4 linked regions of the Arabidopsis thaliana genome follow. The protein of the gene in region 3 interacts with the protein of the main gene of each other region in a pairwise test. Each region holds a gene or a part of one and is shown on either strand. Other genes may lie near its edges. The genes, in order: ORA47, AT5G40590, FER1 and TOC132.

Region 1 (3,392 bases), on a different chromosome or scaffold from region 3:
TATTAGTTTAGCTAGTGGTTTTTATTTTTTCTTTTTTATTTTGTCTCGAATGAAATAGTGGTTTATATTGAAAGTGATGGTTTTTCTTATTTAAGCCGAAAATCAGGTGGCAATTTGAAAATGATGGGAATCTTATCCACCCCAATTTTTTTTCATTTTTTTTTCCGATTACTGATATTTTTCTCGATTCAATTCTATTTTCTTTGAAGACCGTTTCTCTTCCTTGATTTCCAATCCTAATTTCTTGACTTATTGATGTTGAACTTTGTAATTGTCATCAATACTATCGAAATGCTTGGAAGATATTTTATCATATTTCATTTATAGAAACCCCCTTGTGTTTTAATTAGGCCAAGGGAACCTTCGTACTTCACTTAAGTTAACTACTTTATCACGAAAATCAATTTTTAAAACAATGGGCTGAGAAAAATGTTTAATGACTAAGGCCCAACTATAAGATTTTGGGCCGGATAATATAATCTTCCAAACTCATCGTGTTCGAAGGATATTCTTCAGAATAATGAAATGGACTTTTAACATTTATTACTAGAATCTTATCCGATTTTTCTTTACAACAAAAAAATGAAAAAATATAGGTGTGAATATGATCCACATCAAATTCGGATCCGAAACGAAAGAAATTCCCGGGTCATTGGAGCTCCGTGTTACAAAAAATCTCCAGATTTCTCCATGACTCCAAGGAAAATCTCACAGTTCGCTCTAAAAAAATATTATGTTTGGGAATTCAAAAATCCCAAAGAATCAAAGATTCATCTAATAAACTCTCTCCTCCGTAATCTTCGATGGGTAAAATCTCTGTAAATCGATCACCACCGGAGAAGCCAGAGAAGTCGTCGGAGAAGGAATCAAACCCGAAATTCATCGGAAGCAAATCCAAAAACGAAAAATCATAATCCACCGTCGATGTAGCAACAGATGCAGATGTAGAAGGAGACTCTGGTCGGATCTCGGATCCGGGTACTAAACCCGATTCTTCTTCTCCCTTGACAATGTCTTGGAATGTGTTAGCGAATCTAGCAGCAGCTTCCTGAATCTCCGGAGGCGTCAACGACTTTTCTACGGAGATCGACGGTGGATTATTAGGGAAATTGAAATTAGCATCGCCGCCGCGGAGACAAAATTGAGCGGCGTCGAAAGCACGCGCCGCCTTCTCGGGAGTGTCGTAAGAGCCTAACCAAATTCGTTCTCTGCTGTGTGGAAGTCTGATCTCCGATACCCATTTTCCCCATTTCCTCTTCCTCACTCCTTTGTACTTTGACTGCATCGCCGTGTTTCTCTTCTTCTCCTCTTCCTTCATCGCTTGCTTCACCATTGGATAAAAACTCCGGTTCGGTTCGATTCGGTTTGGTTGAATTGGATTCTGTTTCCGGTTCTTAACTCGAGTTTCAGTTGTGTAGGTTAATTCTGTTATATCTGGTTGATTTCGAATTTGCGGCTGTGTGGGATTTATATATGAAGAAGTGGAAGTGGCAAGTGAGGAAGAAGATCAACGCTGACTGGCGCGTGAAGATGGGACACGTGGCGGATTGTATTGAGTGGCTAACGCGGGAATAGTGAGACTGTTCTGCTTTGTCGTGTTCCTTGTTTTCCACGTGATTTAATTCAACTCTCTTTTGTCTTTTTGCATTATATCTGAATGATTATCTCTATTTGTTTAGGCACGTTTGTTTTAAATACTGAGATTTTCGTCGCGACTTCTGTTTCTAGAATTTTAAGACTACTTCTTCTTTTGTATTTTAGAGATTATTGGGCGTTGAATCGGACACACATAAGTATTGTTATTATAAATGTTTGCATCAATGGTTAGGCTCATGACATTTTTGATGCGGACACTAATTAAGAAGTTAAGAAGCAAGTATATGACTCACTGTTTTGAAGAAAGAAGCGAGTCGTCTGTTGATCATAACTTGAGATTCGTAGAAGAAGAAAGGTGGAACCAAAACAGAAGTTTCATACATGAACACTATTTAGAGCAGTAGCTATCTCTTTTGTTTACGCATTCTGTTTTCCAAATAAGTTAAAAAAAGTTACCTTCTTTTAATCCCACTTCTCAAGATGGAGCAATAATTGAATTGAAGGCCAGTGGCCACTACTAACTTTCATTATACTTTGCTCGAGATAGCCACTACTAATGAACTTGTGACACAACCTTGTGTAAGAACAGTCTCCCTTAGATTCAATAATCAATTTCCATTTTGGGAAAATCGTTTGTTACTATTATTTATTTGTTCAGAACCCACGGAACAGATTGCCCCCAACCCTCCGAGTTACCAACTTTATAGGTTTTCGCTGAGCAACAACATCCCATTAGAACGGTGAAGCTCATCATCATGAGCATGAAGGAGAAGATTCTTGTTGTTGTGGTCGCCATTATCGATCAAAAGATCACAAATTAAGAAAATCGAAGAAGGAAGATTGAGGAATATAAGTCGATGAGTTATTTGAGTATTGATGAGGAAAACAAAGACTATACGAACTCTCTATTTATAAGGTTTACGGAACCTAATCCTTGCCGGTTTAGGATTTTACTCAACGTTTGGAATATATTACATGTTTATTTCCTTTTTCAATTTTGATTCACCTCTTATCTTGCAAAAAAACAAAACAAAAAAGTGACGTTTAAAGATCTCTAATCCTTTTCTAATTAACTTTGTGTATGATTTTTAGTTCTTCTAATTTCTATATATTTTTGTTCATAATATGAAAATTTGATCTCTGTTTTAATTATTTTGGAACTAAATACACATTTTTAATTAGATTAGTAAAAGAGTTATAATTAAAAAAAGTTGATCTGGTTGGTGTCAGCAGAACAAGGAAAAAAGAGAGGCTTTTTCGTTTTGATCCTCCTACTCTTCTTCATTAGTGAAAGCTACTTATAAAGTCCAAATCTTGAAGTGCGTGCACGGTGCACCACGAATCCACGATCCAGTGAGCAGCAGCAACTCCATCTCCGGAGCTCTAGATTCAGATAAGAACAATGGCGATTCCGATGCCTACTCGCCAGCTATTCATCGACGGCGAATGGAGAGAACCCATCTTGAAGAAGCGAATCCCGATCGTTAATCCAGCTACTGAAGAGGTCATTGGTAAGCGCTTTTCTCAAAATCCGCCACAGCTCGATTAGATCCAAGTAAAAATGTATACTTTTGTTTACTTCTTAGTTCGATGTGGAGATATTACTTGCTCCTAACTCTATTCATGACTATCTTTTGCTGTATCGACTACTTTCTTTCCATGAATTTTAGTTGAAGTTGATCCAAGGATTTGTATGTGTTGGATGAGATAGGTGATATTCCTGCAGCTACAACGGAGGACGTGGATGTTGCTGTCAACGCTGCTCGAAGAGCATTATCAAGGAATAAAGGGAAAGA
Region 2 (3,204 bases), about 16 Mb from region 3:
GCGAAGACTAAAACAAGAAGCACAGTAGCCGAAAAGGTTTGAACAGTTCCTAGCTCATTCCCTATTCTCCGGAAATCCTGATCAGTTCAGAAATCCCGAGGAACACCCACGATTCGGACCCAAAATGTGATGGCCGATGGGTAGTCCTTGTGTATAATCGGTTCCCACCTTACAATAGAAAGCATCCAATGATTATAATTGAAAGTCTCCGTTTTCATCACCTCAAGAATATCTTCCTCTCTCTCGAAATCTAACCTGAACGTTCCCAATCCCAAGTCCCTCCCAACCACTTGACCCTCTAGTTTCCAGATTCTAGGCATCATCAAAACTAGTGATCCAACACTCTGAACGTCAGGATTCATAATCTTTCCGATAAGTGTCGTCCTCTTTAACCTTCTGATTAATTCCGAGTTGTCAAACATGCGAACTCGAATTGTTCTTGGCAGGGGCTTAATGCCCTTGCCATTGTTTTCTCCAAACCGCGACATGGTACCGTAAGAAACCGAGTTTGATCGTATGTAATGTCAATGTGTGAGTGTGACCTTGTCTGAATATTAATCTAATTTATAACACATAAGATCATCGGTGAAACTGCTACATGAATGAATCACAATTCGAATCATGAGGATCTCTTACATAATATTAACATAAATTGACAAGTTATTTTTGCATGATTGAATTCCATTACTGTTCCCCAGTGATTCTAATTTTTTTGACTAAGGAAACCATATCAATAATCAAGGATTCCGTAATCTGTTTATTATGACATTTCTATTACAGGATCCATTATGATTCATCCCACACGAAGATTTTCAAACTTGTGATTGTGAGCGTAACATAATCGAATCGATTACAAAGATATAAACTAACTAAAATATGTTAATTTATATTTTGTTTTTTTATATATATATATATTTATGATTTTAATAAAACAATCATATTATTTTAATGCGTTGTTGTTTTTGTTTTCACAATTCTATTATTATTTCGAGCATCTCTTATTTTTGTATCTCCACCAATTCTTTTATCATTTTTTATCATTTCTTATAAAAAAGTGTAATTCAATCATTTTACAATATAGTATGTATGCATTCCAAAAAACATTATTGTATGAAACGAAACGAAACGAAACGAAACGAAGGAGTAGACGGTGGATATCAGCCTTAATTAATTAGAGTCAAAGCATTGTGATTAGTTTGACTTTTACATCCGTCACTATGTCAACGTTAATGTATTTATCCCCAACTTGCTAATGATAGAACAATATTTATTTTGATTTATCTTGAATTTCAACAGGTTAATTAGCTAATTATAGTTATAACATTTAAAAAAAACTCAGATGCGTGAACAAGATCGCAAACTAATTCCATGCATAATGCATCTCTTGACTTTGAAATGCATTTCTTGACTTCGAATCCCAAATGAACCATTTTGTTATATACTTAATATATAATATATTATATATATATATAACTTAAAGCGTGACATTGTTCTCCCAATTATATAGTTAATCACTATAAACTACAACTTGGTTTGATAGTCAAATTCAAAACCAAGACTCAATATCACTAAGTCTTCTCCATTAACGCTATAAATAGATTGAAATCCTAAGCTAATTACAATCACAAACACAAACACAAACAAAACGCCTCTCAATACTAAATCAAGAACATTGAATAAAACAATGTCTTCACGACAATCGGTGAGGCACCCGAGTCACAACCATCCATTGCGCGGTCACAAATGCGAAGCCAAAGACGAAATCATCTGCTCCGGTTGTGATCTCGATCTGGTTGGTGCAGCTTTCAAATGCACAAAGTCATCAGATTGTGATTACTTCTTGCACAAGTCATGTTTTGAACTTCCACGTGAAACCAACCACAAATCTCACCAACCCCACACTTTGACTTTAATCTATTCCCCAAAGTCAACGTACACGTGTAATGCTTGCGGCGAATACGGATCAAGTTTCACGTACAACTGTTCAATCTGTCAGTACGATGTACATGTCGGATGTGTTTCAATGCCTGAAACAGTGAAGCGTGAAGATCACCCACATCCACTTACTCTTCTTTACGGTTCTCCTTATAACCAACCCGGTTTAGTTTCCAAATGCGATGTTTGTGAAGACATTGTACCGGATAATCTCTGGTCGTATTATTGCAAGGAATGTGATTACGCTACGCATTTACACTCATGTAAGAAAGAGGAAGAGGCAAAGAAAGAAGATCAAAAAGGAGAAGGAAGTAAAAACTCGATGAATTCGGAGTTAGCTGCAATGTTAGAGGCTCAAAGAGAAGTGGAGAGGATGCAGATTGAGATGCATTTGGCGATGCAAAGTGCTTTGATTTCGAAAAAGGCGAATAAGGCAGCTCTCAATTGCATCTAATTCGAAGAAGTTGGGATTCTTCAAATTCTCTTTACTTGTGTCTGTTTTTCTTCTTTTTGTTGCTTTTTCTTGATTTATGTTGTTGTTGCTCCTGCAAACTTTTCATGTTGTTGTTGTTGTTGTTTTTTTCTTTGAAATTGTTATCTGAAATAAAAGAATTATCAGTTTTTTTTTTTGAACGATTATTGCTGCTTTCGTTTTTGTAACCATGTTACCTTTGCATACTATGTTTCAAGTTCCATAATCCATTTTATATTACTATAGGAAAAATATATAAGTATTGGATCACCCCTACTTATAGATTAAAAATATTGGGAATAAAGTATTGAAATTGTGAGATTTGGGGTTATTTAAAGTAGTTTGTGTTAGTGTTATCGATGTGTTAATAACGGATGGTAAAATAAAATCTAAAGTTTAAGATTTAATTATATCTATATTATCAATATAGTATTAATTACATTTTATTTTATATTTCTGTCAATGTTATTTGTTCGTAAAATCAAATTGATCTCAAAACTGAATAAAAAACAAACAAATCCAGACCTTGCAAATGCAAACACACAATTAGAAGTGATGATGTCAAGAAAAACACACACACAATTAGAAGTCACATAATCATTAGGGAGTTAACAAATGGGCTCATTTTGACAGAAGTTAAGCCCATTAAAGTAAAGATAGGCCCATTTATAATAGAGCCTCAAAAATAGTTTAATTGAGGAAGAAGAAAACTCTCTGCTAAAGTTGCTTGCTTTCTTCTTCTTCTCCGATTCGAGCTTCCTTCCTCTCAGCAAAACCTTCAAGTAAAGGTAACATCA
Region 3 (4,276 bases):
AAGTATCCAATCTTGATTGTTCCCGTGCGAGGGACTTCTTCGTCATTATACAAATAAGATTCTCAATCTTTACTTAATGCTTAGTGGTTTGAAGAACCATGATGAAAAGATAAATCACTAAGGGAGAATCTGTACATGAAAAGCTTAATGGTGTTTTCATACGTCATGAACTTCTTATGGATACTCATTTTCGTACATTTGTCAGCTCTTTGTAGAACAGACAGGTCTTTGTTTGGTTAGAAATGATTTTCTACTGTTCAACATGGAATCAAAGTAAGAGCATCTCTTTTGCTTTGATGTGACAGTGATCTTGTTCTTGTTTGCTGTTCAGTTATATCCCAGTGACCAGCTTGTCCTTCTCGGTGGAAAGTGACATACGCTTCATGCTTCTTTTACATGTTCTTCATAAACAGGTTCGTTATGCTTACTCTTTCAAGTTGGATCATAAATATTCTATGTTTAATTAGATAGGTCTGAGTTTTCACTATTTTCTTAGTTACGCATTGTTTGGCCGTAGGTTTATAGCTAGTTAGAATATACTAAAACAAAAACTTCATTGATTAAGCTTACGAAGTTATTACAAAAACCATCTTGAACACAAAGCTTACTACTACAATCTTATTAGTCCATAATGTTCAATCTAAAGCTTTTACAGAATCTTCGGGTTCTTCTGTTTTAACCCCAACATTGGTCATCTGAAAGTGAACTTATAGAGGTCCAAGTCTAGTTCAGAAGCATCTGGTCGAAATGCCAAACTCCTGCAAAGACAGAACAAATGTAAATAAGCTTTTAGAAATACCATTCAAGTCTGAGAACACTATCTCAATATAGGGTTTTGATTCGTACCGTGGCCTTTGCCGATCATCCTTAGCTGGGTGATGTAGTCTGAGATCTTCTTGATTGCTTCAATCTAGAAATAGTCCATAATATATTCTGAGTCAGAACATGTACAGATTATACAAGTCACTAGTTGTAATCCGAACAAAGGCAAAAGAACTTTTACCTGCTCTCCCAGAAATTCACTCTCAACGAAATCAGCTAACTGGGGATCATTGTTCTCTGAGGCCACCTGTTTTGTTGGCCAAAAGTACGTGTTAGTTAGTATTAGGAAAATGACTATAAGTTTAATCTTTGATGATCAAATGGATAAGTTAGGGAACTTACTTTGTGAACGTTTAGAAGCTTCTCATTAGTGAGTTTCTCTAGAGACAGAGCCAACTCCATTGCTGAAAACAAAGATTAGTAAACTAATAAATATCTGTATCTTTAAAAAAAAAGAAAAGTTGTTATTTTAGGATTAAGATAGTGTATTTGCTTAAAGTTTTACCATATAAAGCATCTCCTTTTTCAGCATGTTCGAATTCTGAGATAGGTGAGACGATAGGGTGGAGTTTCACTCTTCCTCCTCTTTGGTTCTGTATAGAGACAACAAACCAACAATATGAATATTAACTAAGTGAATCACAAGTCTTTATCAACTTTTCTAAAACAGAAAAGAAGGTAAAAATAGAAAACCTGGTACTCCATAAACTTCTCAGCATGCCCTCTCTCTTCCTCACTTGATTCCTTGAAAAATCTGGTGATTATAAAAACTCATGTTTAGTATGGACATATATATCTCATTTTGAAGTATACGATCAAGATTATTATAAATAAGATTAAGATTAGAGTTAGAAGGTAATAATTACTTGGCTAGTCCCTTCATAGCAACGTTGTCTCTGTCAAAGTATGCGTACATTGAATGGTACACATAGGAGACGTTGTATTCCACACTGTAAATAGAAAGCAACCTCCTCCGTTAGATCTAATCTTTAAACATTTTCGTTTCTTTAATTAGACAGAAAAGAAAAGAGAAGCTTACTTGATTTGCTCATTAATGACTGCCTCGCTAGCGTCGGCAAACCTCTGGCGAGCGAGAGAGGCATGAGATGTGATTGGAATGGCCAGATCGGCTTTCTTCACCTCTTCGAAAGGCTGGAACACGACTCCGGTCATCGGCATGTTGTTTGTGTCCACCGTAGCCGCTGCAACGACCACTGCTCTGCCGCCGCCAACTTTCCTGGAGAAGCCGAGAGAAACCGACGGAGAAGCAGAGCCGTGAGGGAGTAGTGGCTTAGGAGACAGAGCGGGATTAGCGGCGGTGAAAGACGAGAGTGCGTTTGAGGCCATCGTTGGAAAATGTAGAAGAGGATAGTGTTGAGCCGCCTGAGATTTGTTGTAAGAGATGGTGATGATGATAAGAAAGAGGAAGGAGGAAGGGTTTATATAAGAGGGAAAAGGCGTGTGGTCACCGTTGGATTGAGATCCACGTGGAGGGTGGATATGAAAGCCAGATGTAGGGGCGTGTGGCGGCCTCGTGCTACATCCAATGGGATAGTGTGAACGTGAGGATATTCGATCCACGTTAACATCTCTCCAAATAAAGTTTGTCTGTTTCTCTGCTTTCTCTTTTATCCTCAGAATCTTTTTACCATTTCCGGTTCCTACTCTCGCGTTGCCACTTTCTTATTTCCTACTCGCTCTCTCCTATTTTTCGAAATGTATTTTTTAGAGTTGTAGATGATAACAAATACAATTGTTTACTATAAAAAAAAAAAAAGAAAAGATGATAGCGTTTCCAACATAAGTTAGACGTGTAAAATCCTGTGACACATATTGACATAGGAAATCGGATAGAGATAAAAGTATTTCCATATTGTTTTTATAAAAAATCATCAAGCTACTAGAACATAAGATTGAGAATGGTCCAAACCCTTTAAGACTTTCCGTATTATGTGGCCTAATATTCATAATTTACAACAAAGAAGGAAAAATTCGTGGCTCTCTAGGATATTTGATGGAGACGGAAAACTGATATACAATTATACATAGGATAGAGTCGCGAGTAGCTCAACTCCACGTAATTTCCAGCTAAAGCGCGTGAGAGGTTCCAAATGGTTCCTTGTCTTTATCGGAGACAATTACACGTCGGAGTAAGTACATTGTGGGCCTCATTAGTAATGTCACGGCCCAAGTTAAAAAATCATATCAAATGGTTTTTCTAAAAAGTTGTAATGTTGGCAAGGACAAAAATTAAGCATTAAATAAAGTGTAGTTAGGCTTGGTTTTATTTTATTGGCTTGATTTGAATCGATTCGTATTACTCTGGAATGCACAAAGACAAGGGTAGGCTATAAAAGTGTTAAAGAGCTTAATAATATTTTCGACTGTAATTACAAATTTAGCTGAGGTTCGTCTAATAGACAAGTAAAATCATGGGAGGAATGGCAAAAAAAAAGGATTGATTGTAGTCTTTAATTTTACTCTGTTTTGTGCCATGTGGTTCTTCAGTTCCCAAGTTGTGTTGCACCTATTTAATCTGATTTTCATTGAAGGCCCAATAGATAGATAGTCAGTCCCAAGGAGGAGTGATAGGCAAGTACTTTTTTTTGTAATTTGTACAGTATAATGCTGCCTGCTTGCTTCAATAAATATATTGGTGTTTATGTATTTGCCACATGTCATAAGTTAATTGGCTGCAGGAATAGTGCACAAATAACGAATCCAACGGTGCGAGAGTGGTGGGTTCCCAAAATTCTTTCCCGGAAGAAAAAGAAAGAAAGTCGTCCTTCGTTTTCTCAAAATCTTCTCTATCCTTTCTCGAGAGAATATGGATCAGATCTTCAACAAGGTTGGATCCTACTGGTTAGGCCAAAAGGCTAACAAGCAGTTTGACTCCGTCGGCAACGATCTCAACGTACGTCTTTTTTTGACCCATCCTATAGAATCTGATTCATCTGTTTTCCTAATCGATTTTGATCTATTGACGTGGTTCCGATATAATCAACCACCTTTATCGTAATTTTGGTATCATGCAGTTGTACGAATGTTTTGAGTTCATTGTTAGGTAAATCACGTCACATAAGGAAGAACATCTAATTACCAAAACCATGATATCTTAAGAAATGATTCAAATATATGATCCTATAATGTCTTCTCTTCTTGCTCATGTGGTTAGATTATTTTGTTTGAAACTGTGATCTTTTCTAACATATAAAACAATGTTTTTGTTTATGCCAGTCGGTGTCAACGAGCATTGAAGGAGGAACAAAATGGTTGGTCAACAAAATCAAAGGTTTGCTTTTTTTTATTCTTCTTCTGACTGCATCTTTCAATTTTTTGTTTTTTTGAAATTCCCCATTTGTCATCATGTTGACAGGGAAAATGCAGAAGCCGTTGCCTGAGTTACTAAAAGAATATGATTTGCCGATTGGAATCTTCCCGGGAGATGCTACAA
Region 4 (6,767 bases), on a different chromosome or scaffold from region 3:
TGGGGAGGGTAAATGGACTGTAAAGAAAGGTAATGTTAGCTCAACAGGAAGATGTTTGAGCTGCAGTGAGCAGTTAGCTTGTGTAGATACCAATGAGGTAGAAACACAGAAGTTTGTGGATTCTTTGGTGGCTTTGGCTATGGATAGGAAGACAAAGATGAATTCATGTGAGACAAATGTGGTCTTCAGCGAGTTTCAGGTTAGAGATGGGATTCTCTTAGCTTGGTTATAATAAGTCTTGGACATTAAATATTGCATGATAAGCATTTAGAGATAGGTACACTGGTTGGAGTTTTTGCTGCGAATTGTCATCAATCTTGAGTATTCAAATGTCGATATTTGTTGAATGTTGCTATCTTATTTGGCAGGACTGGCTTGAGAAACATGGAGATTACGAAGCTATAGTAGATGGAGCAAATATTGGGCTCTACCAACAAAATTTTGTAGATGGCAGTTTCAGTCTTTCACAGGTTCTCCCATCTTTTCTGGGGTACTTGTTTTTCTTCCTCCATATTTTTAGAATCCATTCCTTGCTATACTGATATCACATACATGTGGGATAGAGCAGCTTGAATCTGTGATGAAGGAACTTTACCGTGAAAGTGGTAATAACAAATGGCCCCTAATTCTATTGCACAAGAGACGGGTCAAGACGCTTTTAGAAAACCCAACTCACCGGAATCTGGTTGAAGAATGGATTAGTAACGGTGTCCTGTATGCAACTCCACCAGGTTCCAATGATGATTGGTATGAACTTTTAGCTTCTCTCAGCACCATTATTTCGACAAAAAACACAAACAATGTTTGGTTACTACACTCATCTTTTGTTTTTTTTACCTTTCCAGGTATTGGCTGTATGCTGCTGCTAAGCTCAAGTGTTTGCTTGTGACAAATGATGAGATGAGAGACCACATTTTTGAACTCTTAGGGAGTACTTTTTTCCAAAAGTGGAAAGAAAGACATCAGGTAAAGTTATATAAACTTATATACAATATGTAACTTTTTATACTAAAAGTGCAACTTTGAGAAGTCTACAATTAGAACATTTGGTTTATGGTTTTGGTACAGGTCCGGTATACTTTTGTGAAAGGTAACCTGAAGCTTGAAATGCCGTCTCCTTTTTCGGTTGTCATTCAGGTTTGTTTACCATCTCAGTCCTTTTTTTCTCCGGTTTCGATAGTTTCTCAATTACGTTTCGACAAAATCAGGAATCAGAGAAAGGGTCATGGCATTTCCCGGTCTCATGCGAAAACAATGAAGAGTCTTCAAGAACTTGGATGTGTATTAGCAGACAAAGTATTTTAGATTCACCTAAGAGTAATGGGAAGATTCCTTAGTAGCTGCACCAGCTTATTGAGTTCATGTATCATTTGTTATGAGTTTTCATTCTTTGTCCTTTGAAGATTAACACAAAAAACGTTCATTGGTTCTATAATAAGGGACTGAACTTTTCTCATTAGAAAGAACACAAAAAATTGTAGTAGACCAAACCGAATCAGACCGGGTTGGTTAAACCGAATTGACGCACGAGGGTTTTCTATTCCCTTTCACGGCTTCACTCACTCTACTTTATATAGTCCACGTCAGCATCATTTCACGATTGCATCAACGAGTCATTATCAACCGTACGATGCTTAAACCCAAACTGATCAGGACCGTTGATGAACGTCTCTTATCTCCTTCCCCGTCGTAGTCGCAGGCTCGCAGCCGGTAAAGCGCATGAAAGGATCTTCACACTTTTTCACCTTCTCTCTATTTCTCTCTCTCTCTCTCTCTCTCTATCTCTAACTTCTGGTAAGGCTTCTCTCCATTTCTCTTCTTCTTTCTTCGTCTTCTTTCTTCTGTTTTGGTTTTCGTTTCCTGTAATCAACAAAGTTCTTCTTCCATGTTTGGAGATCCCTATCACCGCTTAGACCTGTGTTTAAGCGATTTGGTTAACTTCAATTGAATTTTAGTTTCTGGAATTGGTAAGGGATAAGGATTCTAGGATTCGTGGTGATTAACTCTGATCTAGGTTTCTTTTAGCTGTGTGCTCGTTTTTTTTTTTTTTTGGTTGTTGGAATTTATATTGATGGTTAAAGCGTAGTTGGTAATTGGAGTGATTTCTGATCTCTGATTATTGTATTTGTGGCTTTTGTTTCCCGTAGCGGTGGTGATCTAGAAAATGGGAGATGGGACTGAGTTTGTGGTTAGGTCAGATAGGGAAGATAAGAAGCTTGCTGAGGATAGAATTAGTGATGAGCAAGTAGTGAAGAATGAGTTGGTGAGATCTGATGAAGTAAGGGATGATAACGAGGACGAGGTTTTTGAGGAAGCGATTGGTTCAGAGAATGATGAGCAGGAGGAGGAGGAGGATCCAAAACGTGAATTGTTTGAATCTGATGATTTGCCTTTAGTGGAAACTCTTAAAAGTTCTATGGTTGAGCATGAAGTGGAGGATTTTGAAGAGGCAGTGGGTGATTTGGATGAAACGAGTAGCAATGAAGGGGGTGTTAAAGATTTTACGGCTGTTGGAGAGAGCCATGGTGCGGGAGAGGCTGAATTTGATGTTTTGGCTACTAAAATGAATGGTGATAAGGGGGAAGGAGGTGGAGGTGGTTCTTATGATAAAGTTGAATCGAGCTTGGATGTTGTTGATACCACTGAGAATGCTACATCAACTAATACTAATGGTTCCAATTTAGCAGCTGAGCATGTGGGTATTGAAAACGGAAAGACTCATTCTTTTTTGGGAAATGGAATCGCCTCTCCTAAAAATAAAGAAGTGGTGGCTGAAGTTATCCCTAAAGATGATGGGATTGAGGAACCATGGAATGATGGCATTGAAGTCGATAATTGGGAGGAAAGAGTTGATGGCATACAGACAGAACAAGAGGTTGAGGAAGGTGAAGGAACAACTGAAAATCAATTTGAGAAACGGACAGAAGAAGAGGTTGTAGAAGGTGAAGGAACAAGTAAGAATCTATTTGAGAAACAGACAGAACAAGATGTTGTGGAAGGTGAAGGAACAAGTAAGGATCTATTTGAGAATGGTTCAGTATGTATGGACAGTGAGTCCGAGGCAGAAAGAAATGGTGAGACTGGTGCCGCCTACACAAGTAATATCGTTACTAATGCTTCAGGTGACAATGAAGTATCAAGTGCTGTGACTTCATCTCCATTGGAGGAATCTAGTTCCGGGGAAAAGGGAGAGACTGAAGGGGACAGTACTTGTTTAAAACCAGAGCAACACTTGGCTTCTTCGCCGCACTCATATCCTGAGTCAACTGAAGTTCACAGCAATAGTGGCTCCCCTGGGGTAACTAGTAGAGAACACAAACCAGTTCAAAGTGCTAATGGAGGACATGATGTTCAGAGTCCTCAACCAAATAAGGAGCTTGAGAAGCAGCAAAGCAGCAGAGTACATGTAGATCCAGAGATTACAGAAAATTCACATGTGGAAACAGAACCTGAGGTAGTAAGTTCTGTTTCACCAACAGAGTCTAGAAGTAATCCTGCGGCATTACCACCTGCTCGTCCAGCAGGTCTTGGTCGTGCTTCTCCTCTTTTGGAACCTGCATCACGTGCTCCTCAACAGTCTCGCGTCAATGGGAATGGGTCTCACAATCAGTTTCAGCAAGCTGAAGACTCTACCACTACAGAGGCTGATGAGCATGATGAGACCCGCGAGAAGCTCCAGTTGATCAGGGTAAAATTTTTGAGGCTTGCACATAGACTAGGGCAAACCCCGCATAATGTTGTTGTTGCTCAGGTTTTATACAGGCTTGGATTGGCTGAGCAGTTGAGGGGCAGAAATGGAAGCCGTGTTGGTGCTTTTAGTTTTGATCGCGCTAGTGCCATGGCAGAACAGCTTGAGGCTGCTGGACAGGATCCACTTGATTTTTCTTGTACGATTATGGTTCTCGGAAAAAGTGGGGTTGGTAAAAGTGCAACGATCAATTCTATATTTGATGAAGTGAAATTTTGTACTGATGCATTCCAGATGGGGACAAAGAGGGTTCAAGATGTTGAGGGTTTGGTTCAGGGAATTAAGGTACGGGTGATTGACACTCCCGGTCTCTTACCTTCCTGGTCTGATCAAGCCAAGAATGAGAAGATCCTGAATTCTGTTAAGGCTTTCATCAAGAAGAATCCACCTGACATTGTACTATATCTTGATAGGTTGGATATGCAAAGCAGAGATTCTGGTGACATGCCTCTCCTGCGCACCATAAGTGATGTTTTTGGTCCTTCGATATGGTTTAATGCCATTGTGGGTTTGACTCATGCCGCTTCTGTTCCACCAGATGGCCCAAATGGCACTGCTTCTAGCTATGATATGTTTGTTACACAACGTTCTCATGTCATCCAGCAGGCCATTCGCCAAGCAGCTGGAGATATGAGGCTCATGAACCCTGTTTCTTTAGTTGAGAATCACTCAGCTTGCAGGACTAATCGGGCAGGCCAGAGAGTATTACCGAATGGCCAAGTGTGGAAGCCACATTTGTTGCTACTCTCATTTGCATCTAAGATTCTAGCAGAAGCAAATGCTCTTTTGAAGTTGCAAGATAATATTCCAGGGAGACCATTTGCAGCTCGGTCCAAGGCTCCGCCATTACCATTTCTCCTTTCATCGCTTCTGCAATCAAGACCACAACCTAAGCTTCCTGAACAGCAGTATGGTGATGAAGAAGATGAAGATGATTTAGAAGAATCATCAGATTCAGACGAAGAATCAGAGTATGATCAGCTTCCTCCGTTTAAGAGTTTGACTAAAGCTCAGATGGCTACGCTTAGTAAATCTCAGAAGAAGCAGTATCTCGATGAAATGGAGTACCGAGAGAAACTTTTAATGAAGAAGCAAATGAAAGAGGAAAGAAAGAGACGTAAGATGTTTAAGAAATTTGCTGCAGAGATTAAAGATTTGCCTGATGGGTATAGTGAAAATGTGGAAGAGGAGAGTGGTGGACCTGCATCAGTTCCAGTTCCTATGCCAGATTTATCTCTACCTGCGTCTTTTGACTCTGATAACCCTACTCACCGCTACCGGTACCTTGATTCCTCCAATCAGTGGCTTGTTAGGCCAGTCCTGGAAACTCATGGGTGGGATCATGATATTGGTTATGAAGGTGTGAATGCAGAACGGCTCTTTGTTGTAAAAGAAAAAATACCAATATCTGTCTCAGGTCAAGTGACAAAAGACAAGAAGGATGCAAATGTGCAGCTAGAAATGGCCAGCTCGGTTAAACATGGAGAGGGTAAATCAACTTCCCTAGGTTTCGACATGCAAACTGTTGGAAAGGAATTGGCTTATACTCTTCGAAGCGAAACGAGATTTAACAATTTCAGGAGAAACAAGGCTGCAGCTGGTCTTTCTGTAACACACTTGGGTGATTCGGTTTCTGCGGGGTTGAAAGTCGAAGATAAGTTTATTGCTAGTAAATGGTTCAGAATCGTAATGTCTGGTGGAGCTATGACTAGTCGGGGAGATTTTGCTTATGGTGGTACTTTGGAAGCTCAGTTGAGAGATAAAGATTATCCGCTTGGTCGGTTTTTGACTACTCTTGGACTTTCTGTAATGGATTGGCACGGTGATCTTGCTATTGGAGGGAACATACAGTCTCAGGTTCCCATTGGACGTTCCTCTAATTTAATTGCTCGTGCTAATCTGAACAATAGAGGAGCAGGGCAAGTAAGTGTTCGTGTTAACAGCTCCGAGCAGCTCCAACTTGCTATGGTTGCGATTGTTCCTCTCTTCAAGAAGCTACTTAGTTATTATTACCCGCAAACGCAATATGGACAATGATTAAGAAACATTTAGGCTGATTTCACTTCCATCCCTTTGCACTGGAGTATTAGGAATCGATTAGTCACAAGAACATGTTAGAGTGAGTTGAAAAGGTACACAATCTGATCTCTATATCTTACTGTGATTACTGATTTCGATATTTTCGTTTTCTTGGAAACCCTCTTAATGGATTTTGCTGAGCGTTGATGTGCTTTGGTTTTGAACAGGATCTGTCTGGTAGCAAGAGACCAATTGTTGGAGGAAAGTTTGTGTCTTGAAATAGCCAGAACATAACACGTTCCTTGTCTGATATATAATAGCTCAGTGGTTTGTTTTTCTTCTATTTCTAAGACCTTGTGATCTCCCTTATGAATGAAGCATATCTACTTTTGTTCATGTCCCTCTCCAATCATTGATGCATTATATCATAACAACATTTAGTGCTCACAGTGCTAGAACGTTAGGCTTTGTAACAACTAAGTTTAATGCCGAGTATAAATAGGGATACAATAATAGTCCATAAATTCTCCAATGAATCCAGGTATAGACTTTTATAGTATTACAAAAGGACCCAAGAACAATGTAAAAGAGAAAGAAAGAGTGTAGAGTATATAAGTATTGAAAACACATTCAATCAATTGCAGACTGTGAATCTGCAGGTCCCGGAATTAGCCTTGATGAAACGAATAGCAGTCATGAGGACATCGTGTTCCGAATTCCCGAGGAGAGCCAGATTGGTATATGTGATCACAGCGACGGAATTATAAGGAAATCCTAGAGAGTTGTATGAATTGAGCAATGCAGTTGTTGCCTCTCTTAGAAGTGTCTTATAGGCTTCTCCTCGCCCGTCAAGCGCTTCTCGTACTGTCATATCTGTGCCGTATATTCTCCCGGCTACTAGCCCAAATGCAACTGCGACCTTTGTGTCTGGACCTATCGCCCTCCAGTAGCATCTGTACTCAGGTTTCATCCACAACCTATATCACAAAGCCACAATGTT

What was found.
Region 1: the proteins of FER1 (region 3) and ORA47 interact in a two-hybrid assay, tested with the Arabidopsis thaliana proteins (one large-scale study listed by BioGRID).
Region 2: the proteins of FER1 (region 3) and AT5G40590 interact in a two-hybrid assay, tested with the Arabidopsis thaliana proteins (one large-scale study listed by BioGRID).
Region 4: the proteins of FER1 (region 3) and TOC132 interact in a protein complementation assay, tested with the Arabidopsis thaliana proteins (one large-scale study listed by BioGRID).

Annotation. Positions count from the first base shown.
Region 1 is NC_003070.9:28,142,180-28,145,571, reverse strand, and holds ORA47 (Integrase-type DNA-binding superfamily protein), read right to left. Parts: upstream 1,722-3,392; 5' UTR 1,576-1,721; coding exon of another isoform or gene 1,474-1,575; 5' UTR 1,334-1,473; coding exon 746-1,333; 3' UTR 514-745; downstream 1-513. Other genes in the region: AT1G74929 (uncharacterized protein), read left to right, coding at 1,474-1,575; ALDH10A8 (aldehyde dehydrogenase 10A8), read left to right, coding at 2,999-3,107, 3,308-3,392.
Region 2 is NC_003076.8:16,250,794-16,253,997, reverse strand, and holds AT5G40590 (Cysteine/Histidine-rich C1 domain family protein), read left to right. Parts: upstream 1-1,563; 5' UTR 1,564-1,684; coding exon 1,685-2,389; 3' UTR 2,390-2,680; downstream 2,681-3,204. Other genes in the region: AT5G40595 (uncharacterized protein), read right to left, coding at 1-77, 222-488.
Region 3 is NC_003076.8:227,426-231,701, forward strand, and holds FER1 (ferretin 1), read right to left. Parts: upstream 2,627-4,276; 5' UTR 2,170-2,626; coding exon 1,862-2,169; exon of another isoform or gene 1,838-1,861; intron 1,773-1,837; coding exon 1,689-1,772; intron 1,577-1,688; coding exon 1,516-1,576; intron 1,416-1,515; coding exon 1,328-1,415; intron 1,227-1,327; coding exon 1,165-1,226; intron 1,070-1,164; coding exon 1,004-1,069; intron 911-1,003; coding exon 847-910; intron 759-846; coding exon 724-758; 3' UTR 528-723; downstream 1-527. Other genes in the region: AT5G01610 (hypothetical protein (Protein of unknown function, DUF538)), read left to right, coding at 3,650-3,736, 4,060-4,114, 4,199-4,276.
Region 4 is NC_003071.7:7,210,507-7,217,273, reverse strand, and holds TOC132 (multimeric translocon complex in the outer envelope membrane 132), read left to right. Parts: upstream 1-1,656; 5' UTR 1,657-1,794; exon of another isoform or gene 1,795-2,147; 5' UTR 2,148-2,164; coding exon 2,165-5,785; 3' UTR 5,786-5,880; intron 5,881-5,994; 3' UTR 5,995-6,215; downstream 6,216-6,767. Other genes in the region: PRORP2 (proteinaceous RNase P 2), read left to right, coding at 1-199, 369-470, 569-747, 846-966, 1,069-1,137, 1,209-1,337; AT2G16630 (Pollen Ole e 1 allergen and extensin family protein), read right to left, coding at 6,402-6,744. UniProt on the Arabidopsis thaliana protein: GTPase involved in protein precursor import into chloroplasts. Seems to recognize chloroplast-destined precursor proteins and regulate their presentation to the translocation channel through GTP hydrolysis.